Linked DNA regions of Oryctolagus cuniculus. The protein of the gene in region 3 binds, or shares a complex with, the protein of the main gene of each other region. Links are inferred from orthologs where the notes say so. Each region holds a gene or a part of one and is shown on either strand. Other genes may lie near its edges.

What was found.
Region 1: the proteins of GPR161 (region 3) and GNAS are in contact, whole or in part, in a cryo-EM structure (PDB 8SMV), measured with the Homo sapiens proteins. The link is inferred for Oryctolagus cuniculus from reciprocal best matches to the Homo sapiens genes GPR161 and GNAS. Residues at the interface, in NP_001254539.1 of Homo sapiens: Arg125, Ala128, Val129, Leu130, Pro132, Met133, Met137, Ile211, Val214, Ala215, Lys218, Ala219, Lys267, Ala268, Thr271, Ile272, Trp327; in NP_000507.1 of Homo sapiens: His41, Lys216, Val217, Phe219, Phe376, Cys379, Arg380, Asp381, Ile383, Gln384, Arg385, His387, Leu388, Tyr391, Glu392, Leu393, Leu394.
Region 2: the proteins of GPR161 (region 3) and GNAL are in contact, whole or in part, in a cryo-EM structure (PDB 8KH4), measured with the Homo sapiens proteins. The link is inferred for Oryctolagus cuniculus from reciprocal best matches to the Homo sapiens genes GPR161 and GNAL. Residues at the interface, in NP_001254539.1 of Homo sapiens: Arg125, Ala128, Val129, Leu130, Pro132, Met133, Tyr135, Pro136, Met137, Ile139, Ile211, Val214, Ala215, Lys218, Ala219, Lys267, Ala268, Thr271, Trp327, Asn328, Lys329, Arg332; in NP_001135811.1 of Homo sapiens: Ala41, His43, Lys203, Val204, Phe206, Phe363, Cys366, Arg367, Asp368, Ile370, Gln371, Arg372, His374, Leu375, Gln377, Tyr378, Glu379, Leu380, Leu381.

What each region holds. Positions count from the first base shown.
Region 1 is NC_091442.1:3,426,355-3,430,580, forward strand, and holds the start of GNAS (guanine nucleotide-binding protein G(s) subunit alpha isoforms XLas), read right to left. Parts: upstream 2,801-4,226; 5' UTR 2,786-2,800; coding exon 898-2,785; intron 1-897. UniProt on the Homo sapiens protein: Guanine nucleotide-binding proteins (G proteins) function as transducers in numerous signaling pathways controlled by G protein-coupled receptors (GPCRs).
Region 2 is NC_091441.1:68,765,387-68,776,117, reverse strand, and holds the start of GNAL (guanine nucleotide-binding protein G(olf) subunit alpha), read right to left. Parts: upstream 6,504-10,731; 5' UTR 1,977-6,503; coding exon 1,583-1,976; intron 1-1,582. UniProt on the Homo sapiens protein: Guanine nucleotide-binding protein (G protein) involved as transducer in olfactory signal transduction controlled by G protein-coupled receptors (GPCRs).
Region 3 is NC_091438.1:30,614,167-30,624,870, forward strand, and holds the start of GPR161 (G-protein coupled receptor 161), read left to right. Parts: upstream 1-4,052; 5' UTR 4,053-4,270; coding exon 4,271-4,277; intron 4,278-4,334; exon of another isoform or gene 4,335-4,496; intron 4,497-4,615; exon of another isoform or gene 4,616-4,763; intron 4,764-5,145; exon of another isoform or gene 5,146-5,270; intron 5,271-10,704. UniProt on the Homo sapiens protein: Key negative regulator of Shh signaling, which promotes the processing of GLI3 into GLI3R during neural tube development.

The DNA.
Region 1 (4,226 bases), on a different chromosome or scaffold from region 3:
AGCAGGCTAGATGTCCTCCATCCCCCACCCCAGCCACTTCCCATCCCCCTCCAGGTGAGTGTGCTTGTGCGCAATGCTGAAATCCAGTGTGCAGCCCCAATGCCCCAGATACCTGTGCTGCGTGTCTGGTTTTTCAACTGTAAAGGCGGGAGGGTTTGGCGAACGAATGAGAAGTGAGGAAACACTTAGCGCACAGGGAGAAAGAGAGAAAGACACAGAGGAACAAGGTTACCGAGGCGCCCCCCCGGGCCGGTGGCCCAGCCGGGTTCCGCCGCGGAGTGCCGGCGCACAGGTGTCATACGAGTGTGCAGACGCGCAAAGTTTCAGCCCGCGCCATGGCGCGCATCACGACAGCCCGTCCCCAAGTACAAGTACACGGTCGGCGGGTAATCCGGGGATGGGGGGGTTGCCGGGGATGGGGAACACTTGAGCGTGTCATGCACAGGCGGACACAGAGAATACGCACACCGACACACACCAACGACAAGCTGGCCGAGAACAAGCCGTGCCAGGCGAGGCGGGGGCGCGCCTTCCCCGATGGCCCTAGCCCACCGCGGCCCCAACAAACCTAAGCCGGCGGAGAGTGGGCGCCCCTTTCCGGCAGTTCCCGGCTCACCTGAAGCCCCCGCCTGTCCAGCTTACGGTCGCTGGCGCTGGCCTGTCCAGCCGGAAACGACCCTCAGTGTCGCTCGGCACCACTTTTCTCCCTGGAGGGCACACACCTCGGCCACCCGAACCCGCCCCAGCTCCCCTCCCGCGCCCGGGGCAAAGTTAGGGTCCCTCCGTGGAACTTCCTGGCCGTGCCCCCTCCTCCCGCGGCCGAGCCCCGCGCCCCGCGCCCCCTCCCCGGTCCCCGGCGGGGCTGCTGCCCCTGGGCAGAGTCCGCCGCCGCGTTACCTAGAAGCAGCAGGCGGTGAGTGCACATGTAGCCCATCTTCTCGGCCTGCAGCTGCTTGTCGATGAGCCTGCTGCGTTTCTTCTCGGCGCGCTTCTGGGCGCGCTTCTCCATGGCCTCCCTGCGCATCTGTCGGCGCTTCTCTGCCAGAGAAACCTTCTTGGCCTTGCTGGGGCTCGCGGGCTTGGGCTGGGGGCTCTCAGATCGACCACCGAAGCAGCCCCCGAAAGCCTGCACGAGGAAGTTGCGGAGCAAGTTGCGCCGGGGCTTGCGGCGGCGGCGTGTGCGGCGCTGGAACCAGTGGAAGCAGCCGGCGGCCCGCTCTTCGGACTCGTCCCCGCTGGAGGAGTCGGCGTCGCCGCTGGTCGACCCCTCGTCGTCGTAGCGGCGGCGGCTTCGGCCGCGCTCAGCTCTGCCCCGCCAGGCAGCCGCGCGAGCAGGCCGCGGAGTAGGCGGGTCAGCAGCCTGGATCTCGGGGCTGGGGGGTCTGAGCAGATGGAGCCTGCGTCTGGCCCCGGAGGCAGGCGCGGCGGGGGCTGCCTGGGGGGCCCCGGCGGCTGCGGCGTGCTCGGCCGGGGCACCAGGGGCTCCACCGGCGGCAGGGGCTGCCCCGGCATCAGGAGCGGCTGCGGCGCCGGGGGCTGCGCGGGTGTCGGCGTCGGCTTCGGCATCGGCCGGGGCTGCCCCGGCGGCCGCAGTGCCAGGAGCGGCCGGGGCTCCCCCGGCTTCGGGCTCCGCCGGGGCGGCGGGAGCGGCTCCGGCGGCGGGAGCGGCCCCAGCTGGGGCGCCCGAGGCTCCGTCCCCCGGAGAGGGGACTTCTCCTTTCTCCGCAGAGGCGCTGACCGAGCCTCCTTCCATCTCGGCTGCTTCACCCTCAACTGGGGGTCTCTCGCCGCGCTCCCTCTTATCTGGGGCTCCGGAGACCTTGATGGGCGGGCCATCACTCGCGATTGGGGGGCTGTCCATGCTGACGGGAGCGTCGTCGACCCCGACGGGGGCGCTGCGCATCTCGAGCGGGGGTCCGGCGATCTCCATCGGGGGGCTGGCGCCCGCGAAGTTAGCAGCAGCTCTGACAGCCTCTGGGACCCAGAGGGGTGGCGCGTCGGTGGCGGGAGCGAGGCAGACCGCACTCGGGACCGCGATTGCCGCGCTGCTGCCACCGTCGCCGTTGGCAACTTGTGGGAGCGCTCGGGGGAGCCCGGGGGGTGGGCTGTCGTCCCCAAAGGCCTCTCCATCAAGCTGAAATGGCATAGCCTCCTCGGGGGGAGGGCTATAGCCTCCTCCAAGGCCAGCGCTGGCAGGCCTGAGCGCCCCGGACTTCCCGGGAGGAGCTCCAGGGACCCCCAGGTCTGTGCCACCGGGAGCGAGGTCGGGGACCCCCGATGCTGGCTGGCTGCAGCCTCCCTGGCCAGCAGGCTCCTCGAACTCAAAGGGCATGGCTTCTTCTGGTGGGGGGCTGTAGCCTCCCAGGCCAGGCCCGGCACTGCCCGAGACTCCGGGATCCACAGAGGCCTCGAGGCCTGCGATGGGCCCTGGGGTGGGCCAGAAGCCTCCCACGCTGGGCTGCTGGACCTCAAAAGGCATGGCTTCCTCGGGAGGTGGGCTGTAGCCTCCATCGCCTCCGAATTCCTGGTCAGCTGCCACGGCGAGGCCCTCCAGGGTGCCCCCGGAGACCTCAGGGGGTTCACAGGCCTCGGCGCCAGCCTGTGCGGGGACGGGCTCGCTGGCAGGCGGCTGGGTCTCCATCTCTTCGGCTGGGCCAGGCCCAGCACCGGGGGCAGCTGGCCCTGGGGCCTCCAAGGCTGGCTGTGGAGGCTGCTCCCCGACTTCAGGGGGGAGATGGCGTTGTCCTGACATATTATTGCCGTCGAGGCAGTAGCGCAGGCCCATAACACGGTGGCGGCCTCTTACAATGATGTGGGGGCTCCGTGAGACGGAGCACCCAACCGAACTAGGGTGAAAAAAATTATTTGAAAGGAAGAAAGAAAAAAGTACCAGCTGGGAAGTTCTGCGGCCTCACTTCCCGAGCGCACTCAGGGCCTAGAACCCCAGACCATGGCCAAGGCAGTGCAGTTCTGGCTGGTGAAGTCTTGGCTCCTTCCTGGCCACTGGTGATTCCCTCAGGCCCCCACCCGGCCTGCTCGGCCTTCGTCCCCTCCTCTCTCTCTCTCTCTCTCTCTCTCTCTCTCTGCTCCAGGCCAACACAGACTGCTTGGATTTGAGGAGCGTGCCGATTCGGTCCGAAAATCGCCAGTCGCGCGCTCTCTCTGCCACCAGAGGACGCAGGTCCCGGTGCCAAGCTGGTTCCCTGCACCGCCGGCCCGGCTTTGGGTAAGGGGCTGGCGAGCGCAGGCCTCGCAGGGACGTTTGGGCTCCTTCCACGCCTCTCCCTGACTGATTTGGAGCCTTTCTCCTCGCTTCTCCCCTTGGCCACACAAAGCTCTCCTGCGTTGCGAGCGAGACACGTGACACAAGACGTGGGCCTCGGGATGCTGGAGAACAGGAGCAGAATCGCTCCCTCCCCGCCCGCGCCGACTCTCCTCGGGGGGCGGGGGACTGCAGAGGGCTTTCTTTTTCTTCCTTCACCCCAGGATACCCCTGCACCCCTGCGCCGAAGCCCCTAGCCCCAGATCTCGAGCCAAGCGTAAGGCTCTAGATGCCCGGGGACAGTGGCGTGCGCGCGCGGGAATGCGACAGGTGGTCGTGAGCCCACCGGAAGGGCAGGGAGGAGGATGAGGAGCGAGGGGGGCTGTCGAGAGCGAGCGCACAGTTTGTTTTGTAAAACGCCTTGGGTACACTTGCCGCGGTCCGCCGTGGCGAGGCACTTTAGCATCGCCCACCCCCGTGGCTCCTGGGGTCTCCGCAGTGGCCGTGGGCGGCGCAGTAAGGGGTCCCTCTGTTTTTGTGGACAATGATGCGACGCAATATGGGGGTCTCCTGACTGCACCATGGAGAACCAAGCCAAGCCCCCCGCCTCCCCGCAGTGTAGCGGCCGCGGCGGCACGGAATGGGGGTCGCGGGACACGCTGGGGAGCCGAGCCCCACGGGGCGCAGGTCTCAGAGCGCCACACATCCTTCCGCTCTGGGGAAGATTTCGGCTGCGGGGTTTATGGCTGGTTTGGGGGTGGTCTCGGAGACCGCACAACCCCGTGCGCGCGGAACCCGCAAACACCGCACCAACAGCAGCCGAGGCGCGCGGCATCTGCCTCCGGCCCCGGCCGCAGGGCGGGTCCGTCATCCCGCAGCCCCCAGCGCCACGCCAGGACCGTCCCCAGGCAGTCGCTTTACTTTTCCGCTGCTAGCCCGCAGAAGCTGCGGCAAGCGCAGCCAC
Region 2 (10,731 bases), on a different chromosome or scaffold from region 3:
CAGCTTTGTCTTGCCCAGGATGTGGCTCACTCCTTTGCACAGTGTATACACACCGTTTACACCACCTACCTGTTTAGGCACTTACATCTTGGTTATCAGATAGACTTCCCAGGAACCATGGTATTTGTGTTCAAGTAAACCTTACATATAGCCTAACGCTGGACCACTTCACCTCATCTCATTGCGAAGGCATTGTACATCTCACATTATCATCAGAAGGGTGAGTCCAGTGCAAGAAAATCTCAGACAGAGGCCATGGTCACATGATTTTTATGATAGTGCATTATTATACCTTCTACATTATTGTTATTGTTGGTCTCTTACTGTGTATAGGACCAAGTATAGTATACAAAGGGCTGGGCACTACCCAAAGTTTCAGGCATCCACAGAGGGGGCATGTCTTGGAAAGCAGCCCCTGTGGATAAGTGGCTACCATACTTTTTGTTTTTCTGTACTACTACCCCCTCCTAAACTTCCCGTTGTTTTAGATTTCAGATATTGCGTCAGGATACAGCATGTAGGTTTATGTTGTTTTAGCCACTCATTCTTGCAGTGAGTCTTTCAAACTCAACATACCTTGTTCCCTAGATCGTAAAGGTTGCATCCATTTATGAGCAGGCTTCTTGCTCAAGTCACTTAACACTCTCCTTATGCACAGCTGGGCAACCTGGACCATTACCCTTCCTGCTATCCCACAAGATGGGTCAAAAGCCTCCATCTTATTTTTGTTCTCTTAAAACCTAAAAGCAACAAGTAGCGTCAGGAATTCATGCCTGTTTTCACCTTTTTCTACAGTACACACACCATGTTACTGGATCGTAGAAGCACAAGTAACACCTGCGAAAGCGAGGCTCAGAAAACACTAGCAGTGTGGGCCATTACTTTAAAATGCTGTGTGTGTGTGTGGGTGGGTGGGTGTACGCCCTCTTGTTTGCAGAATGCACAAGGGGCTGCCAGGCTCTTGGGCTGCCGGATCTCGGGAGGGACAAACATGCACACAGCACCGAGGCTGAACTTGCACAGAGAAACACAAGTGCCCCATCTTCAGCTGCTGACTTAATTTCTCAAAAGGCAACAAGCCACACCCACCGACAACTCTGCTGGAATAAAAGCTCTGTGGTTAAGCTAAAAGGCCTTCAAGGTCTTATAAATCTCATTTGTGTTCTTAGAGCGAACAGCAATGGCACTGCTACTGTGGCAGGAAATGAGACTCTGACCTGGACATCCCTGTGGGTCGTACACTATGGAAATCAGTCAATCGAAAAGGGGGACCTTTTCCAGACAGGCACACTCATTAGTAAGAGGCGAGCCACCCGGCCATCATCACAAGGCATGGACAAGAGCAAAACCACCGCGCAACGTGTCATTGGAGTGAATATTGTCGGGTTAAAAATGCTACCCAGAGTTTAAAGACCCCTGCCGGTTTTTACAATCAGCGTTTAAAGCCCTATTCCCGGGCTGCGATCGGTCGCCCATCCCCGCCCCTTCCCCCACCCCGAGATCCGCCACCCTTGCGACCCCTGCGGGCTGCGCGCGTCCCCGCCGTCCCCACGCCCGGCGAGGGCGCCCGCGCGGGACCTACCCAGCAGCAGCAGCCGGTGCGTCTGTTGCAGGTCGCGCTTCTGCTCGCGCAGCATGCGGTCGATGCCCCGGCTCACTTTCTTTGCCTCCCGCGCAGCCTCGCGCTCCTCGGCGCTCAGCTGGTCCCCGCGCCGCCTCTTCTCCTTCTGCGGGGCCGCTTTGGGCCGCGCGCACGCCGGGCTCCCACCGCCTGCCCGAGGGAGCAGGGTCCGGGCCGCGTCGCCCCCCGCCGCCTGCGCGGATGCTCGGGCGGGGACCAGGGCCAGGACCGGGGCCGGGGCCGGGGCCGGGGCGGGCGTCGGCCGCGCATCCTCCCCGGGCGGTTCCGAAGCCTCGCAGGGGGCTTCTTCGGGGCCGCCGAAGAGCAGCGGCCGCAGACTGTAGCACAGACCCATGTGGGCGTAGGGGACGCGCCGGACAGGGGGTCGAAGCGCCGAGGGCGGCTGGGTTCAGGCCGGGGTCCCCGCGGAGGGGCTCGAGGGGGCTGCTCTCGGACCCGGCGTGGTGCTGCGGTCCGCCGGCCGCGGGGCGGAGTTGCGGCGGGCCCCTGAGGGCCACGGCCCCTCACTGCCCCCGAGGGCCATTTTGCATTTTCCGTTGGGTGCCGGAGGTGGCGGTCGCCCGGGCTGGAGATCACCTGATGGCGCCGGGAGCTGACCGAGCCGACGGGCCTCGGCGAGCCCGGCCCCCGTTACCGTAAACCCCGCCGCCGCCCCAGCCCCGCTACAGTAAATACTGCCGCCCGGGCTGCATCTCGTTACCGTAAATATTGCGGCCTGGCCAGCCCTGTTACCGTAAGTACCGTCGCGCGTGCAAAACTCGGCTGCCGTAAATACCGCCGCGCGAGCCTGGCGCGCAGCTGCGGACAGTGGTGCAGTGGCGGTGCGGTCACCTCCTGGAGCCTTGGTTGCTGCCGTTAGAAACCACGGTGGCCTTGCTCTTGGTCGGATGCAGGGATAGAGACGCCGGCTTTAAGGCTTTCAGTTCCCCAATGCTGAGATCTCTGGGCCGTGCCCCTTTTCTGCTAACAACACATGCACGCTCGTCCACGCCCTCCTGATCCCTACTCAAACGCTACTACACAGTTGACTACAACAAAATCTCCAATGTAGAGGTTCACGGCACCGCTTTCAACACCCTCCAAGCTAACTTAAAACGTAAAAAGGGACACGTGTGTTTGTCGTGTGCTATTTGTACTCGTTAAAACGAGAATGTGAAGTTGCAACACCCAGGATAGTGCAGGGAGGCCCTTTCAGACCGGGGGACGCTCTCTCCAATCCTCTGCAGGTACAAACCCTCGCTCCCACCTCCTGCGTTCTTTCCTACTTCGTGCACATGCTACAGAGCAGTTCCAACAGGTGAATACCTCAGGATGGCTTTTAAGAAACTTGCTGTATCAGATGTTACATGGTTTCGAGGAAAATGATGTGGAATATTATAAATGATAAACATCTAAATTCCGTGGATATAGCAGATTAGGCCAGTGTCTAGCTATCATCTATCCATCCATCCATCCATCCATCCAATCTATAGAGAGAGATTCTCCAAAGAATAATGGTATTTATCTGGGAATAAAGGAGCAATGCCATAGGAATACATCTTCCAGAGTAAACATGAGCACAAACACATTGAGGCAAGGGGAAGTTTTTGAAGGCCAAAATGAGGAGACTGATGTGGAACATTTTGAAACAATAATCTTTGGCCGTGATTATGAGGGTGATGTCTGAGGTTGCACTGCTGGATGGATGTTAATGAGAAGTAGTTTGTGTGTGAGACTGTACTGGCCTCTGTTGTAATGCTGTAGTTCTGGCAGTCTTTTGTGATGGTTGCTATTAGGCTATTACATGTTCTTCATAACCTGATTTTATTTTTTTGTTAGGGTTGATACAGCGACTCTATTTTGATTCTCACAACTTAGAAATTCTTTTCAATAGCATGCTCTCAGTGTATGCTATCAGTTGGCAATTGGTATAAATATCACATTTGATTACTGAGAAAGAGAAATTGACCAAGATCTTCCATTCACAGGTTCTGTCCCCAAATATCCAAAGCTGCGTGGGCTAAGCTAGGTCAAACTCAGGAACTTGGCACTCCATCTGGGTCTCCCATGTGGGTGGCAGGACCCAAGTACTTGAGTCATCACCTGATGTTTTCCAGTGTGTCTGTTAGCAGGAAACCGGATCAGAAGCAGATTGAGGCCTTGAACCCAGTCACTCTGATATGGGATGTGAGTTTCCCAAGTGGTGTCTCAACTGCTGTGCTACACAGCCTGCCCCTGATTACATTTAAATAATAAGTTGAGGTCCAGTATTCACATTTCTTTTGGTGCCTTGTTAGTAACAAATACATATACTATGCAATGCTTTTGGCTTAACATTATCCAAAATATTTTACCAAAATTATGGTATACTTTTAGATATTTTCAGGGTAGAAGGCAGAGGGACTGTTTTAGTCAGTTTTTAGTTACTACAACAAAATTCCCAAGACATTGACTTTATTAAGAGGTGGATTTTGATGGTTCATGTTATGAGATCGAATAGGCCTTTTGGTTTGGCATCTGATGATAACTTTGTTGCTTTCAGAGTCTTGAGGTAGCACAGAGCATCACATGACAAGAGACAGGGAAAGTACACGTCTGTGTCTGTGTGTGTCTCCTACAGCCACCAGGATTTTTTTTTTTTTTTTTGACAGGCAGAGTGGACAGTGAGAGACACAGAGAGAGAAAGGTCTCTTTTGCCGTTGGTTCACTCTCCAATGGCCCCCGCGGCTAGCGCGCTGCGGCCGGCGCACCGCGCTGATCCAATGGCAGGAGCCAGGTACTTATCCTGGTCTCCCATGCGGGTGCAGGGCCCAAGGACTTGGGCCATCCTCCACTGCACTCCCTGGCCACAGCAGAGAGCTGGCCTGGAAGAGGGGCAACCGGGACAGAATCCGGCGCCCCGACCGGGACTAGAACCTGGTGTGCCGGCGCTGCAAGGCGGAGGATTAACCTAGTGAGCCGCGGCGCCGGCAACAGCCACCAGGATTTAATCATGGAGACATCATCTTAAAAGACCCAGTCCAATCCACCCATCTCCTAGAGACTCCAACTTCAAACATGGTAAATAGATTAGGTGAATACACTTTAAATGCTATGAAGTCATGACTTTGAAGCTTAAACTTCTGCATGAGTTTTGGGGACATATATTCAAGCCATAGTATTCTGCCTCTGGCCCCCTGAAACTCTTATCCTTCTCACATATGCACCTTTCCATACCCCTAAGTCCCAAAGTTTTGACTCAGTCCAGCATTAAAGTAAAATTTCAAAGTCCAAAATCTCACATTAGATTCAAGGCAAATTTCTCCAGTTGTGAGCCTGCAAAAAAATCTGAGTTACAAACATTTCCATTCCAAAAAGAGAAGTGGACAGGAAAATCGGAGGAATAATTGTCCAAAGCAAAACTGAAACTCAGTAGAGCAAATATTAAATACTGAAGTTTTATTTCTGGTAACTGGAACACATATCCAGGGCAGGGGCATAGGGGGAGCCCTGCCTGTGGCTTTGCTGATGTCACAGTCCACATGGCTGCTCTCTGAGGTTAGATGCAGACACCTGGGATTTTCAAGGTTGGTGTGGTATGTTACTGGTCGTTTTACCTCCCTGGGGTCTCCACATTGCGCATCCACTTCATCCCTATTGATACGGGCTAGGCAGGGAGTTAGTGAGGGACGAGGAGCTAAGTGGTTTTCAGCAGCCTCTGTGCCAATAGCCCTGTACCACTAAAAGCTCCCAAGCCATTAGCAGGGAGCTGGATCAGAAGTCGAGCAGCAGGAACTTGATGCTGGCATGGCAGGTGGAGGCTTGACCTTCAGCGCCAGCCACTGAAATCGTACATTATGCAAAACAAAAAAACAAACAACAATGAAGAAAAGTGACATTTAAAGACCTAGGGGTCAATATTGTCTGGTCACTAAGAGTGTAATTAGAGTCCTGGAAAGAGGAAAAAAGAAAATGGTGCAGAAACAATATTGGAAGAAATAGTGATCGTTGATTTCTGAAAATCAGTAAAAGACATTAACTTATAAATCCTAAAATTCAAAGAACATGAAGTAGGATAAGTATAAGGAAAATCACATTTAAATACATCAAGTAAAATTACTGAATTTTTGCAAATATAAAGAGAGAATTAGTAAAGTAGTCAAGGAGCCAGCACTGTGGCACAGCAGGTTAAGCTGTAGTAAGAAGAGAACAGTTATGAATGTGTGTACAGAATTTTGAAACACAGAACTTAAGAAAGAAGCAAACAAAGCCACAGTCCTAATTGGTTCTTGTAGCATGATGGCTCATTAACAGAAAAATCGGGAGGTTGGAATGGGGACAGGCATCTGGTACAACAGTTAAGACACTGCTTGGACACAAGTGTCCTGTATTGGAATGCCTGGTTCCAGTCCTGGCAAGTCTACTTCCCAGGCAGCTCGCTGCTGATGTGTACCCTTGAAGGCAGAAGGTGATGGCTCCAGTACTTGTAGGCAGCCTGGATGAAATTCTTGGCCATTGGCTTCAGCCTGGCCCAGCTCTGGCTGCTGTGGCCATTAGGAGAGTGAACCACCAGATGGAAGATCTCTCTCCATCTCTCCATCTGTCTCTCTGCCTTTTGAAGAAATAAAGATAATTTTAAAAAGCAATGCTCCTCCCAAGTTCATGTGGCATGTTCACACAGATACTGGGCCAGATGTCTCAATAAATTCTTTTTTTTTTTTTTTTTTTTGACAGGCAGAGTGGACCGTGGCCAGTGCACCGCGCTGATCCGATGGCAGGAGCCAGGTACTTCTCCTGGTCTCCCATGGGGTGCAGGGCCCAAGGACTTGGGCCATCCTCCACTGCACTCCCTGGCCACAGCAGAGAGCTGGCCTGGAAGAGGGGCAACCAGGACAGAATCCAGCGCCCCGACCGGGACTAGAACCCGGTGTGCCGGCGCTGCAAGGCAGAGGATTAGCCTACTGAGCCGCGGCGCCGGCCTCAATAAATTCTAAAATACTAAAAGTCTTACAGAGGATGCTGTTTGGCCACAATGGAATTAAACTAGAAAAATTTAAGTATCTAGGTTATCCCCAAATATATGGAAATCAAACAATAAGTTTCCAGCTAAACTGTGGTTTTAGGAATGAAAATCTTACCTATCAGAATTGGTGAGATGCAGCTAAAGCAGTTTTTAGGTGAATATTTGCAGCTTTAAATGCTTACATTAGGAAGGAAGAAAGGCTTAAAATCACTGATCTTAGTTTATACCCTGTGAATCTAGAAAAAGAAATTAAACACAAGATAAGTAGAAGAAAGGAAATAATGAAGAACAGGAACCAAGAGGAGTGAGGAAGGCACAACTGTCTTCTTTGAAAAGTCCAATAAAGTTAATAAATCTGTACTAAGAAATTAAAAACAAATTTAAGTTTATTTATACAATGGAATATTACTCTTGAATAAAGAGAAATGAACTAATAATGAATTTTACAACATAGATAAATCACACAGACATTATGCTGAGTGAAAAAAAAAAAAGCCACAGAAGAGTACATACTTCATATGTGAAGTTCTGGAGTAGAATTAATTCAAGTTGAAAAAAATAACAGTACTTGCCTCTGGAGCCTAGTATTGAATGAAAAGAATCGTGGCCGGCGCCGCGGCTCACTAGGCTAATCCTCTGCCTTGCAGCACCGGCACACCGAGTTCTAGTCCCGGTCAGGGCGCCGGATTCTGTCCCAGTTGCCCCTCTTCCAGGCTAGCTCTCTGCTGTGACCAGGGAGTGCAGTGGAGGATGGCCCAAGTCCTTGGGCCCTGCACCCCATGGGAGACCAGGAAAAGCACCTGGCTCCTGGCTCCTGCCATCGGATCAGCGTGGTGTGCCAGCCGCAGCGCGCCGGCCGCGGCGGCCATTGGAGGGTGAACCAACAGCAAAGGAAGACCTTTCTCTCTGTCTCTCTCTCACTTTCCACTCTGCCTGTCAAAAAAAAAAAAAAAAAAAAAAAAAGAGGGAGACGAAATATATTCAGTATTTGGTCTGAGTCAGCCATTTTTTTTTTTCCAAAAACGTACAACCTAAGATGTGTGCATTGCAACAGATGTAAATTTTATGTAAAACACCTAAAATTTAGTGGGGTGTGGGATGGCAGAAGAGTGGCAGAATGTTTATCATTGTTGAAGGTGAGGGATGGATACATTTGGGTTCATTATACTACTCTGTTCGCACATGTTTGAAAATTTCCACAGAACATTAGGAAATCATGAACTATATTTTAACCACTTTAAAAATGCAAACATACTGTGCAATTTTTTGATAATGCAAAATGTTGAAATTTTAGTGACCTGGAAAGTATTCTTGATAAACAAAGAAAAGCACATATAAAAACAACACTTTTTTTTTTTTTTAAAAAGATGTGGTTATTTATTTTGAAAGTCACAGTCATAGAGAGAGAGGGAGAGACAGAGAGATCTTCCATCCACTGGTTCAGTCCCCAGATGGCCACAAAGGCCATCGCTTAGCTAGGCCAAAGACAGGAGCTGGGAACTTCATCTGGGTCTCTCATGTGGGTAGCAGGGAACCAAGCAATCGGGCCATCTCCTGCTGCTTTATTCAGGCCATTAACAGAGAGCTGGATTGGAGTGGCGCAGGATCAGGGTTAGGGACACAAACCAGTGCCTATATGGAATGCCCATGCTTTGTGGGCAGAGTCTTAACCTGCTCTCACAACACCAGCCCTCAGATGGCACATTTTCTTGAAAAAGCATGTCAGTTTAGACACAGTCATTGAGAAATTGCTTTCTGAGTTATAAGCAGAGTTGTGTTTTTGTGGTGGAACTTTAGGGGACTTTTCTTTATGCTTTTTGCCCTAATTTCCAACCCTTTCCCTCATGAACAAGAATGACTTCATTATTATATTCATTATACTGATCTCCTGGGAGCCTTGCATATTGTTGATTCTAATCCAAGCTGTAGACAGTCTGGGCATTTGCCTATTTCCTGTCTCTGTCAGCGCAGAAGACGCTGAGAAGAACCTGAGACCAGAAGGGATCTTTGCTTCTTCTCTCCACCGGATTCCAGTGGCTGAGGGCTCAGACAGTGAACACACATCCAGGGAGTATGTACAGTGATTTCCTGGGATTCCACAAGAAGATGCAAGGACATCTCTAAAAGTTTGCATTTTTTAACTAGATCCTTTTAATATTTTTGTATGTTTTGTAACAATCATGCTGTGTCAAAGAATTGACAGATGACATTTGTTAAGGGTTGGGGCTGAGATATTTTTTCACTGATTGGGTGATCAATGTCGGGATGCTGATTTATCTGATGAGTGGTAGCCTGTGCCATTTGGAGAGTGTCCTTGGAAGACTTCAGAGGTAGGGACCATCTGGCCGGTGGGCTGTGCAAGTCCTGTGAAATCATTTGGCCTGACCTTGCCAAAGCAGCCACAGGAGGCTGTGGTGAATAAATATCCAATATCCAATAAATGTAATGCAAGCTAATATTTAAGTTGATAATTTTGTATTGCCCGTTGAACGATGTTCTAAATATCTAAATGGCCGTTGGCAGGAAAGGCTCTTCTCTCCTGCATCTAAGAAGGGTTCCCACCTGGGGAGTTGGAGTGGGTCTGTGTTGGGTGAGCTGGGAATGTATTTAGCTCCCAACACTGGGCACTGGAAGTAACAACTGACTGGCCTGGGCCAGACTGCTGCTCATGGCCAAGATGAGGCTGTGGTCATGAACACTGTCCTCAACCTGATTCAGAGCCCAGTGGACACCAGGGAGTCTTTGCTCTAAAATCACATAAATTAATCAGTTCAACAGCTTGCATTCTGATACTCCTTGGAAATTTTTGAATATGTAACATGTGATTGTGTATATACACCACATTGTGTCTGTTCATCCACTGAGGGACACCTAGGCTGAGTCCCCACCTTAACCACTGTGAACAGTGCTGCAATGAAACTTGGGGTTACGTTTGTTCTCCTGGGCACCCTGATCTCAATTCCTTTGGGTATATATCCAATTGTGGGATCACTACCATCAGATGCAGTTCTTTTTTTAAAAAATATTTATTTATTTGAAAGAGTTACACAGAGAGGAGAGAGGAGAGAGAGAGAGAGAGAGAGAGAGAGAGAGAGAGAGGTCTTCCATCCGCTGGTTCACCCCCCAATTGGCTGCAATGGCTGGAGCTGGGCTGATCTGAAGCCAGGAGCCAGGAGCTTCTTCCAGGTCTCCCACGTGGGTGTAGGGGCCCAAGGACTTGAGCCATCCTCTGCTGCTTTCCCAGGTCATAGCAGAGAGCTGGAAGGGAAATGGAGCATCAGGGACTTGAACCGGCACCCATATGGGATGCAGGCGCTTCAGGCCAGGGCGTTAACCTGCTGCACCACAGTACCAGCCTCAGGTGCAGTTCTAATTTTAGTTTACTAAGGGAACCCTATATGTATTGCATATTTCAAAACTGCTAGAAGAGTTATTTCTAAATGTTCTCACCACATACACAGAAAACAAATATATGAGATGATGCACATCCCATCTCAATCTAGAAACTTGATCATTTTTTTCCCTTACTCTCTTTCTAAGAAATCTCATCATCCAAGATAATGGTCTTATTTATTTTTATTTTTTTTTGACAGGCAGAGTGGACAGTGAGAGAGAGAGACAGAGAGAAAGGTCTTCCTTTGCTGTTGGTTCACCCTCCAATGGCCGCCGTGGCCGGCGTGCTGCGGCCGGCACACCACGCTGATCCGAAGGCAGGAGCCAGGTGCTTTTCCTGGTCTCCCATGGGGTGCAGGGCCCAAGGACTTGGGCCATCCTCCACTGTACTCCCTGGCCACAGCAGAGAGCTGGCCTGGAAGAGGGGCGACTGGGACAGAATCCGGTGCCCCGACCGGGACTAGAACCCGGTGTGCCGGCGCCGCTAGGTGGAGGATTAGCCTAGTGAGCCGTGGCGCCAGCCCCGATAATTGTCTTATAATAATTTTTCTTCTCCTCTCTTACTTTCTCCCTGGTTTTTTTTTTTTTTTTTTTTTTTTTTTTGACAGGCAGAGTGGACAGTGAGAGAGAGAGACAGAGAGAAAGGTCTTCCTTTGCCGTTGGTTCACCCTCCAATGGCCGCCGTGGCCGGCGTGCTGCGGCCGGCACACCGCGC
Region 3 (10,704 bases):
GTCCCAGCTTGTGTGAATTGGAATCGTGTTGTTTTGATATGTATTTCCCCAATGGCTATGCTATTGGGAAGCTTTGCTTGTACTTAGTGGCTATGTGCATGTCTTCTTTGGAGAAATGCCTACTCAGATCCTTTGCTCATTCTTTAAATGGATTATTAAGTTTTTTTTTTTTTTATCATTGAGTTGTAGGAGTTCTTTGTATGTTCTGGCTAGAAGTCTTCTTTTTTAAGATTTATTTATTTATTTGAAAGTCAGAGTTACACAGAGAAGAGAGAGAGAGAGAGAGAGAGAGAGAGAGAGGTCTTCTATCTGCTGGTTCACTCCCCAATTGGCTGCAGTGGCCGGAGCTGTGCCAATCCAAAGCCAGGAGTCAGGAGCTTCTTCCAGATTTCCCATGTGAGTACAGGGGCCCAAGCACTTGGGCCATCTTCTACTGCTTTCCCAGGCCATAGCAGAGAGCTGGATTGGAAGTGAAGCAGCTGAGTCTCGAACCAGTGTCCATATGGGATGCTGGCACTGTAGGCGGTGGCTTTACTTGCTAAGCCACAGCACCAGCCCCTGGCTAGAAGTGTTGTAACAGATTGTGAAGACTACAAAATCCATTCTGTGAGTGGTCTTTTCCCTTTTTTGATAGCATCATGGGAAGGAATCAGTTCTCAACACATCACACTTTGAACCTCAAACTCATCAAAGTTCTGTATTTATTAGTTGGACTTTTAGTCTGGTGTCTAAGAAAACTCCAAGATACTCTTTTATTTCCCAAAGTTCGAGAAGCCAGAAGCTGCTGAAGACATACTTTATTTATTTTGATTTGTCCTCAATTTATTTAAGAACACATTTTCTTGGGGAGTGGTTAGCCTAGTGGTTAGCATGCTGAGTGAAATTCCTGCATCCCATATTGGAGTGTCTGAGTTTGATAAACTGCTCCGATTCCTGACTCCAGCTTCCTGCTCAGCAGACCCTAGGAGGCAGTGATGATGGCTGGAGTTATTGGGTTCCTCCAACCCACACGGGAGATCTGGATTATGTTCCCTGTTCCTGGCTTTGGCCAGGCCCAGTCCTTACCATTGAGGGCATCTGGGGAGTGGACTAGTGGATAGCATTGCTGTGTGTGTATGTGTGAGTGTGTGTGTGTGAATGTGTATGTTTGTGTGTGAGAGTGTGTGTGTGTGTGTGTCTTTGCCTCTAACACAAGTTTTATGGTGTTAGGCTGTGATTCTATTTTGGTAAATTAAAAAGTCCATGACATTCACTCCATGAGGGTCTCTGCCTTCATGGAGTTTACCACGAGGGACATCCTGTAAACAAATGGGAAAAAAAGATATAAATTGGGATGCATTTTATATGGAAAAGGAACAGGGAGGTAAGGGAGAGATTAGTCAGGAAGACTTCTCTGAGGAGGTGGCATTGAAGCTGAGACATGAGGGCAAGGACTCGGCCTGCGCAGAACAGGGCAGTAACACTCCGCGTGGGACAGAGAACACACTGAACCATTTTGCCTTTACTAGTTTTATGTGGGATGCTGAATTGAAGTGATATTTTATATAAAAGATATCTCAGCATATGTTGACTCTTCAATCAGCATTCAGGATTTGGTTGGAAGAGACCTCTCATTATCTTACTGCGGAAGTCTTCGGGGAAATCTTATAAAAGAATGGCTTATGAAACTGATTTGGAAAAGGAGAATTTTGTATCTTTCTCTTCTTTTGCAAAAACAAATTAAATGTTTGCACAAAATCAATGTCATGTTTTTCACTAGATTGTTCCCTATATGATGATAAATAGCGAGACATTACTTTAACAATTGTTCTGTTTTCTCTGCATCTGACCGAATACTGCTCATAGCTCAATATCAGCTGTAGGAGGGAAAAAAAAATCTTAAGAGGGTAATTGAAAAATGCATTTGTTGGCAGTAATTTCTACTCCTAAATGTACAGTAAGTTCCGAGCTTACGAGCAATGGGAAACAAAAAACCTTTGCAATAAATAATATATTTGATAATGAACATGAGGAAAAATGCTTTCCATTGAAGAGTTCAAGTTGAGAGGGACTAAGTATGGGAAAAGACCACTCAACAAGGACAGCTTTTGCATTAGGATGCAGGCGGAACTGAGAGAGCTATAGTTGGTTTTGGTTCTCACTCCTCCCATGCTGGTCTAGGGCACATATTTTCAGACCTACCTTCCTTCCTTCCTTCCTTCCTTCCTTCCTTCCTTCCTTCCTTCCTTCCTTCAAAGAAAGAGTTCATGCTTCTCTTTTTTATTTATTTTTTATTTTTATTTGACAGATAGAGTTAGATAGTGAGAGAGAAAGAGAGAAAGGTCTTCCTTCTGTTGGTTCACCCCCCAAATGGCCGCTACGGCCAGAGCTGCGCCAATCCGAAGGCAGGAGCCAGGTGCTTCTCCTGGTCTCCCATGGGGTGCAGGGCCCAAGCACTTGGGCCATCCTCTACTGCCTTCCTGGGCCACAGCAGAGAGCTGGACTGGAAGAGGAGCAACCAGGACTAGAACCCGGTGCCCATATGGGATGCCGGCACCGCAGGCAGAGGATTAATCAAGTGAGCCATGGCGCCGACCCTCTTACTTTCTTTTTAAAAATATTTATTTATTTGAAAATCAGAATGACACAGAAAGAGAAAAAGGGAGAGAGATCCTCCATCTACTTGTTCTCGTGCCAAACGGCCTCATCAGCCAGGGATGGGCCAGGCCAAAGCCAGGAGCCCCTGGAACTCCTTCCTGGTCTCCTACGTGGGTTGCAGGGACCTAAGTACTTGGACCTCATCTGCTGGCTTCCAAGGCACATTAGCAGAGCAGCCGGGACTCGAACCAGTGCTCTAAGGGTGCCCATGTCCCAGACCTTTCTTGAACGCCAGTTTTCAAAGCTTGGTTCTCAGATTCTGTGACCATGGGTGATTACTTTACAGTGTTTCACTAACCCTTTTATCCCTCCCTCCCTTTTAAAAAATATTTATTTATTTGACTTGAGTTACAGAAAGAGAGGGAGGGACACAGAGAGAGGTCTTCCATCCACGGGTTCACTCCCCAGATGGCTGCAACAGCTGGAGCTGGGCCAGGCCAAAGCCAGAAGTCGGGAGCTTCATTGTTACCCAGTTTTCCTACCTAGGTGCAGGGATCCAAGCCCTCGGGCCATCTTCCACTGCTTTCTCAGGCTCATTAGCAGGAAGTTGGATCAGAAGTGGAGCAGCCAGGACTCGAACCAGCATCTGAATGGGTTGCTGGCTTCGTAGGCCGCAGGTTTACCTACCACACCATAACGCCGCCCCCTCGCTCACCCTTTTCAGTTCTACAGGTGGGAATGAGTATCCGCATTTTATATACAAGGGGCTTCAAAAAATTTGTGGAAAATCAAAATTAAAAGATGATGTGTATTTTCCATGAAGTTTTTGAAGCCCCCATCCTATGAGTAAGCTGAGCCTCAGAAAGGTTAACTAACTTTCTCAAGGTCACAGAGCTTAGCCGGTGTCTGAGCCAGGGTAAATAACCAGAGACTTCAGAATAATCGCGAAAACACTCTGGAGAGCAACCTGCTCTAAGCTACTGCTAGCACTGCGCATGCCGGGTCCCGAGATGCTCAGGGGAGCTGTATAGCTCTCAGTTTTGCCCAAACAGAGCATCGGTCTCATGGGAACATTCAGGCACCGGTTCGTTCACAGTCTCCTTCCCCAATATCTCTTGTCCCTGGAAGCAATCTGGGTTCTTGGCAGGTGCTAGACAGCAAATTATTTCTCCTAATGGTGCCTCAGTGGCCTCATCATAATAAGGACCAGCTCCCACAGTGTCAGTCTGTAGACAAGGGAGTTGTTAATGCATTCATCAACAGATGGATTTCGGAGGAATTCAAATCCTACCCTGAGCAAAGCATCAGTGTTTCCGTTTGTTTTTTTTACTGTTGGGAGCTGGACTTAATAACTTCCTACCTGATCCTCTCTGCTGCCCTGTTTGTCTTCTCTTCCTTTTTAAAAAGCACTTTTCTTGTTTCCATGAACTTTTCGTCGCCGTATGAAGGCTGCTGCATGGCAAACCAGGAGGCTGGGGACGAGGCACAGAAAGTGGGGAGGACCCGGTGCTGTCCCCTGAGCGGCGGAGCCCTGCTCCGGGTGTCGTCACGACCGCTCCCCGGCCTGCGCCTGGTTCGCACGAGTGCACAGCAGCGTGGTGAAAACCCTGCTCACACCCACTGCCCACTCCCGCGGCCGCCTCGCGGTGCCCTTCGCAGGGCCCAGGACCGTGCAGGGCGCCCGGCTGGATGAATGAAAGGTGAGCAGCGCGGCGAGCCAGGAGCAGCCCGCGGCGGGACCCAGGCAGCAGGCGAGCGGGAGCGCGCGGAGCCCCACGCCTGTGTGCGATGCACGGGGACCGTCCCAGCGGCGGGAAGCGGGGCGAAGCAGCGCGGACACGGAGGGAAGGCCCCGGCAGGGACCACAAAGCCTTGCAGGAACCCGGGGGCGAGACAAAGAGCGGCGGCCGAGGCCGACGGTGGGAAGCATCGAAAAGTGGCCGGGACGAGGGCGGACGCGGAGGCAGGGGCGCGCGGGGCGGGCTGCGGGCGCCGAGCAGGGGGCGGGCGGCGCGCAGGGGCGGGCGCCTCAAAGTTGCTCGGCCTGCGCCGGCCGGGCCGAGGCGGGCTCGGCGGCTGAAACCCGAAACCTCCCGGCCCCGAGCGCGGCGGGAGGAAGGAAGCGGCGGCGGCGGCGGCGGCCGAGGCGGGGAGGCGGCCCGGCCGGGCCCTGGGCTGCGGCGGCGGTGAGCGGCTGGCCGGGGGGGCGCAGGCCGCGGGGCGCGCTCGGGGATGGAGCGGGGCTGAGTTCATTGTGCGGGGCGGGCGGGCGAGGGCCGCGGGCCGGGGAGGGTCTCCGCGCCCCCTCCCCCACGCCGCCCCGCCCCCACGGTGCGTCTCGGCTCCCTTGCGCCCCTCGAGGAGCCGGGGGTGGGGTGGGGGGGCTGTTTTTCCGGCCGCGGCGCGCCTCGCCTTGGAGAGCTGGGGCTCTTTGTGGGGGAGATTTTGGGGACACGCCCCTCCCTGGCGTGCAGAGGCTTCTCGGAAGCCCACCCCATTCTGCCGGGTGCAACCTGCTCCATTTCAGGCGCCGCCCAAAGCCCCAGCCCCATACCTACCCCCCCCCCCCGGAAAGGAGAGCATCCGTGCGTGCCCGGGACACAGCCGACGGGCACCAAAGACTGCGCGGCCCCCTCTGGATAGGGGTGTGGGGGGAGAGCCCGCGACCCCGGGCTGCGATCGGCGAGCACCAGGTGAGCGACACTCTCCAGGCGGGACAACGCGCCCAGTCTCCCCGAGCCCGTCGGGAGGCGCGCCCCGAAGTCGCCGGGCGCCGCGGGGTGCGGCCCCTGCCCCTTGGATCTTGGAGAAGGGGAGGCTGTGACTTTGGCGGGGGGGGGGGGGTGGTTGCGGGGGTCGGAGAGGACTTGTCAGCCCCGGACGCCTGGCGGCCAGAGCTTACCCCTGGCGCAACCTTTGGACAAAGGCGTTTGGGATGAAAATGTTTGCAGGATGACTGGGGATGGTGTTGAGCGTTTCAGAGCGATCTGCTCGCCGGTAATAACCACACGGCCCTGGGCCGGCATCACTTGCCAGCACATCTTTGAGGCTATTTTTGTTCGTTATTGTTGTCTTTCATCCCTTTTGCAAACGTGCTTTCCAGAGCAGGTCTTTCCATCTTCCCTGGGTGGGGGGTGTGGTTTTGGAGGGAAAGGACCTAGGTCCCTGGATCTGTCCAATGGGGATACCGGGTGACCTCAGGGGAGCCTGTCTGAGCGTGCTGGGGCAAGTCAGCCGGCCATTTCTCCCCCTGGACCTCCACATGCGCTAGGAAGAGTTACTGCTTCCGAGAATGGGCGGCTGTCCTTAGAATCCATCCAGGTTACTGCAGCCACTGGGAGCAGGAGAAAAGACGCAATTCCCAGGCCCTCCGGGCAGAAGGGGGAGTGGGAGCATCCCCCTACCCCCCATGTATCTGGGTCGCTGCCACCTATCTTGTCCCTGCCGGGGTAGCCGTCTTCCTGTCCGGGTCCCCTCTTAACTTTATGCTTGGAAGGTGCTGGCAGCACTTTCGTATGCACTTTTGCATTTCGTTCTGACAACAGCGCAGGGAAGCGCTCTTAGCCCATTTGATAGACGGGGAAGCTGAGACGCTGTGAGAGACGTGGCGGTCTCTGCCCAGCTGCCCAGCCTGCAAGACTGGACTGAGGTCTTTGAGCAGGCAATGCTTTTCACATAGGAGCGAGTTTTAACTGAGGACCGTACAGCTTCACGGCACCCCTGCACCTTGTTGCAGTGAGACTAGGAACCCCCCTCCCCCATAATTTTGGAACTAGATCCCCGGCCTCAAGGACCCACATCACTTTGTGTTTGAGCCAGCCCAGTGTGCTGGGAGACTTCTGAGAGGCAGGCAGCACCGCGTTGCTGTGAGGGGTGTCAGCTCTCTGTTTGGGTTCTGTGGGAGATGGGATGGGCTGAACTGGAACTGACCTCAATGTCAGCAAAAGGAGTGCTGGCTGGGGCCAGCCTGGAAGGCAGTCGGGAAGAGGCGGGTGGGCAGGAGAGCCTGGCTGGGCGTGTGCAGAGTCCGTTTACAGAGCTGGTGTTCCTGTGAGGGAGGCAGCTGCAGGTGCAATGAGGCTGCAGTCCCTCGTGGCCTGATCTGAATTTTGGGGGAAGCTGTAAATTTTTATGGAAAAAAGTTCTATATTTTTAAAACCGTCAGCTAATTCAAAACATTCTTTTAAAAGATATGTGGGGGAACTGGGTTAGGAGTGCAGGCTGGTTGTGGACTATGGACTGTGTGGACTGGCGCTTTGGAACCTTTGTGTGGACCCTCAGAAGTTGTCGCTGTCATTGAGTGGCAGTAAAGCACCACTGGAGGCGAGGCGGGAGAGGCATCATTTTGGCAGTTTTGCTTTAAGAACAGCAAGCATCAACAAAGCAAGAGCGAGCCAGCAGGGCTACCTGGAGTTTGCAGTACGGCTTAACGGCACGATTCTGCACGTGGTTCGCACAGTTCTAGTCTCCTTTATGATTCGGGTCCTGCACTAGGAGATGGCTTGCACCGAGTTTTTGTGTGTTTCCTTCCATGGCGAGTGCTGGGGCATGAAGGAGGGAGTGTTCAGTCTGCCCAAGGGTAAACTGGGAGGAGGGAGACTGGAACTGTGTTTTGCTTTGAGTTGGTTTGAGACTGAAGTACTCGGGGAGTGAGCCCTGGGTGAACAGGGCAGTCTGAAGTTGATACCCTGCACCCCATCCCTGCTCCTTACAAACAAATGCCTTGGGTAAGCCATATAAAGCATGCCTGCAATATAGTCCTTTTTTAAAAAAATAAGAGCTGTTAAAAATGTTTAAAATATAGAAATACAAGGAAAGATATTAGGTCTCCCCTCACCCTACCATCCTCCTCACAGGTAACCAGTTTCCTGGTCTTTTTCAATGCCTAAATATATGCCTAGAAAATCTGGAAATATAGATGAATAGATAATGCATGGTTTGTTGCTACAATAGTATGGTATAGTATGTAGTGTTATAGTATAGTATTATAGTTGATATTCCAGTATATAGTTTTGTTGATATTATAGTATAGTTTGTTGATATTATAGTATACTATATAGACATAGCAAATATACAACATATATACTATACATATTTTCTGCATTTCCAACTTTAGGACCCATGTGAATATAGTGAATAGAGTTCAGTTAAATACCTAAGGGGGTGGGCATTGTTGTGCAAGTTAGGCTGCCCTTGCCATGCCCACATCCCATAGTGAAGTCCCTGAGTTCGAGTCCTGGCTCTGCTTCTGATCTGCTTTCCTGCTAATGCACACACTGGGAGGCAGCAGATGATGGTTCAAGTACTTATGTCCCTGCCACCCAGCTGGGAGGTCCGGACTGAATTCTGAACTCCTGCCTTCCTCTTGGCCCAGCCCCAACTGTTTCAGGCATTTAGGGAATGAACCCGTAGATGGAAGATTTCTCCCGTGCTCTCTCTCTCTGTTGCTCTGTTTTTTAAGTAGATGAAAATGAATAAATAAGCATTTAAAATTAAATGGGTAAATAAATAAAACTTACAAAACACACAGGGAGCAAGTGTTTAACCTAGCCCTGTCCCACATCAGAGTCCCTGGATTCGATTCTTGGCTCTGGCTGGTGACTGCAACTGTCTGCTGATACAGACCCGGGAGGCAGCAGCCGTGGTTCCCATGATCAGGTTCTTGTCACCTGTGTGGGAGACCCGCACTGCGTCTCCCATTCCTAGCCCAACCCCAGCCCCAGTTGCCAGTTGTTGTGGGCCTTCAGGGAATGAACCAGTGAATGGGTGCGGTCTCTCAAGTAAGTAATAATACATTCTTTTTTTTTTTTTTAAAACAGGCAGAGTGGATAGTGTGAGAGAGAGACAGAGAGAAAAGGTCTTCCTTTTTTGCCGTTGGTTCACTCTCCAGTGGCCGCCATGGCTGGTGTGCTGCGGCCGGCGCACTGTGCTGATCCGAAGGCAGGAGCCAGGTGCTTCTCCTGGTCTCCCATGGGGTGCAGGGCCCAAGCACTTGGGCCATCCTCCACTGCACTCCCTGGCCACAGCAGAGAGCTGGCCTGGAAGAGGGGCAACTGGGAAAGAATCCGGTGCCCTGACCGGGACTAGAACCTGGTGTGCCGGCGCTGCTAGGTGGAGGATTAGCCTAGTGATCCTCGGTGCTGGCCAATACATTCTTAAAATATGTAAATGAGCCGGCGCCTTGGCTCACTAGGCTAATCTTCCCTGCGGTGCCAGCACCACGGGTTCTAGTCCCAGTCGGGGCGCCGGATTCTGTCCCGGTTGCCCCTCTTCCAGGCCAGCTCTCTGCTGTGGCCCGGGAGTGCAGTGGAGGATGGCCCAAGTGCTTGGGCCCTGTACCCGCATGGGAGACCAGGAGAAGCACCTGGCTCCTGGCTTCGGATTGGCGCGGTGCGCCGGCCACAGTGCGCCGCCCGTAGCAGCCATTGAGGGGTGAACCAATGGAAAAGGAAGACCTCTCTCTTTGTCTCTCTCTTTCACTGTCCACTCTGCCTGTCAAAAAAATATGTAAATGGAGGTCAGGTACAATAATACTCTAAGGGTTTTTTTTTTTTTTTTTTGATTTAACAATATGACTCAGGAGTCTTTCATTATCAATTTCAGGTATATTTCCTTCTTTTTAATGGCTACATAGTATTTCGTAGTATAGATTCATTGTCCTGTATGTAAACATTCTCCCACTGATGAACTCTTGAATGTCTCTAACTTCATCTATCTGTGTATTTTTATTTGTATGAGTACCCGTGGAGAATTTCTGGATAAAATTACTCCCAGGAGGGTTGACTATTTGACACTGTAATTAAGTCCTGGCTTGGGATGCCTGCATCCCATCATGGAGTGCCTAGCTTTCAGTCCTGGCTCTGCTCTCCACTTGTTTCCTGCTAATGCCTTCTGGAAGGCAGCAGGTGGTACCTGTGTTCCTACCACTCTTGAGGAAGACCCAAATTGAGTTCTTGGCTCCTGACTTCAGACTGGCCCAGCTGTGGCTGTTTGCGGGCACTCGGGAGTGAACCAGCTGCTTGGGAGATCTTTCTCTGTCTGTGTGTCTCTTTGCCTTTCAAATAAATAAGACATAAAAAAATTTTAAAAAATTAAAAAATTAGTCCCAGAAGTGGAATTGGTAATTCATAGGGAATATACATTTTAAGCAGTTATTTAAGCAGAATTCTCTTTATTTGTTGAGGCCCAGGGAGTTGTGCAGAAAAAGAGATTGAGTTTATTTAAGTTTACTTGACTGGGGACAGGTAGTGTATGTGAGAGGTACAGCTTCAGACGTTATACAAGGTAACATCCTCCTCCCACTCTTGTTCCCCAACTGCTGTGTTTCCCTTTTAGAATTCAACTCATTTTGCCAGTTTTTGTGTATTTTTTCCCAGACAGTCCATGCACCAAAGGCAAATAAAATGAATCTTCTATTTCCTCCCCTTCAAAAATATTGTTGCACACCATATATCCTGTTCTGCATGTGGCATTTTAAAAGTGTAACCTAGATGTTAGAGATCATTCCATATCAGTTATGTGCATTTTAGTTCTGATAGACTCGTCCAAATTTACCCGTCTTTAAAAAACTTAAATTTTGTACTTCCCCTAATTGCACCGTCAAATCTTTTTGCCATTTTTGTTGTTGCTGATGTTGAGTTATTTGTAGTTTATCAAGTTATGAGGCTTTTTCTGGATTCTGGACTTTCAGTTTGTTCTTGTTAATAAATCAAATATCTTGCCTTTTATGTCTTCTTCCCCAACTATGCTTGTTGTACCTCTGATGGTGCAGAAATATTTCATTTTTATGAGGTTAAATATAAATCATTTTTCTTTGTGGCTCTGAATTGTCCATCTTGCTTAGAAAGTCTTCCCTTTCAAGATTACATTTTCCTGGCCAGCACCGCGGCTCACTATGCTAATCCTCCACCTGCGGTGCCGGCACCCCGGGTTCTAGTCCCAGTCGGGGCACCAGATTCTGTCCTGGTTGCTCCTCTTCCAGGCCAGCTCTCTGCTGTGGCCCGGGAAGGCAGTGGAGGATGGCCCAAGTACTTGGGCCCTGCACCCGCATGGGAGACCAGGAGAAGCACCTGGCTCCTGGCTTTGGATCGGGGCAGTGCGTAGGCTGTAGCGGCCATTTGGGGGGTG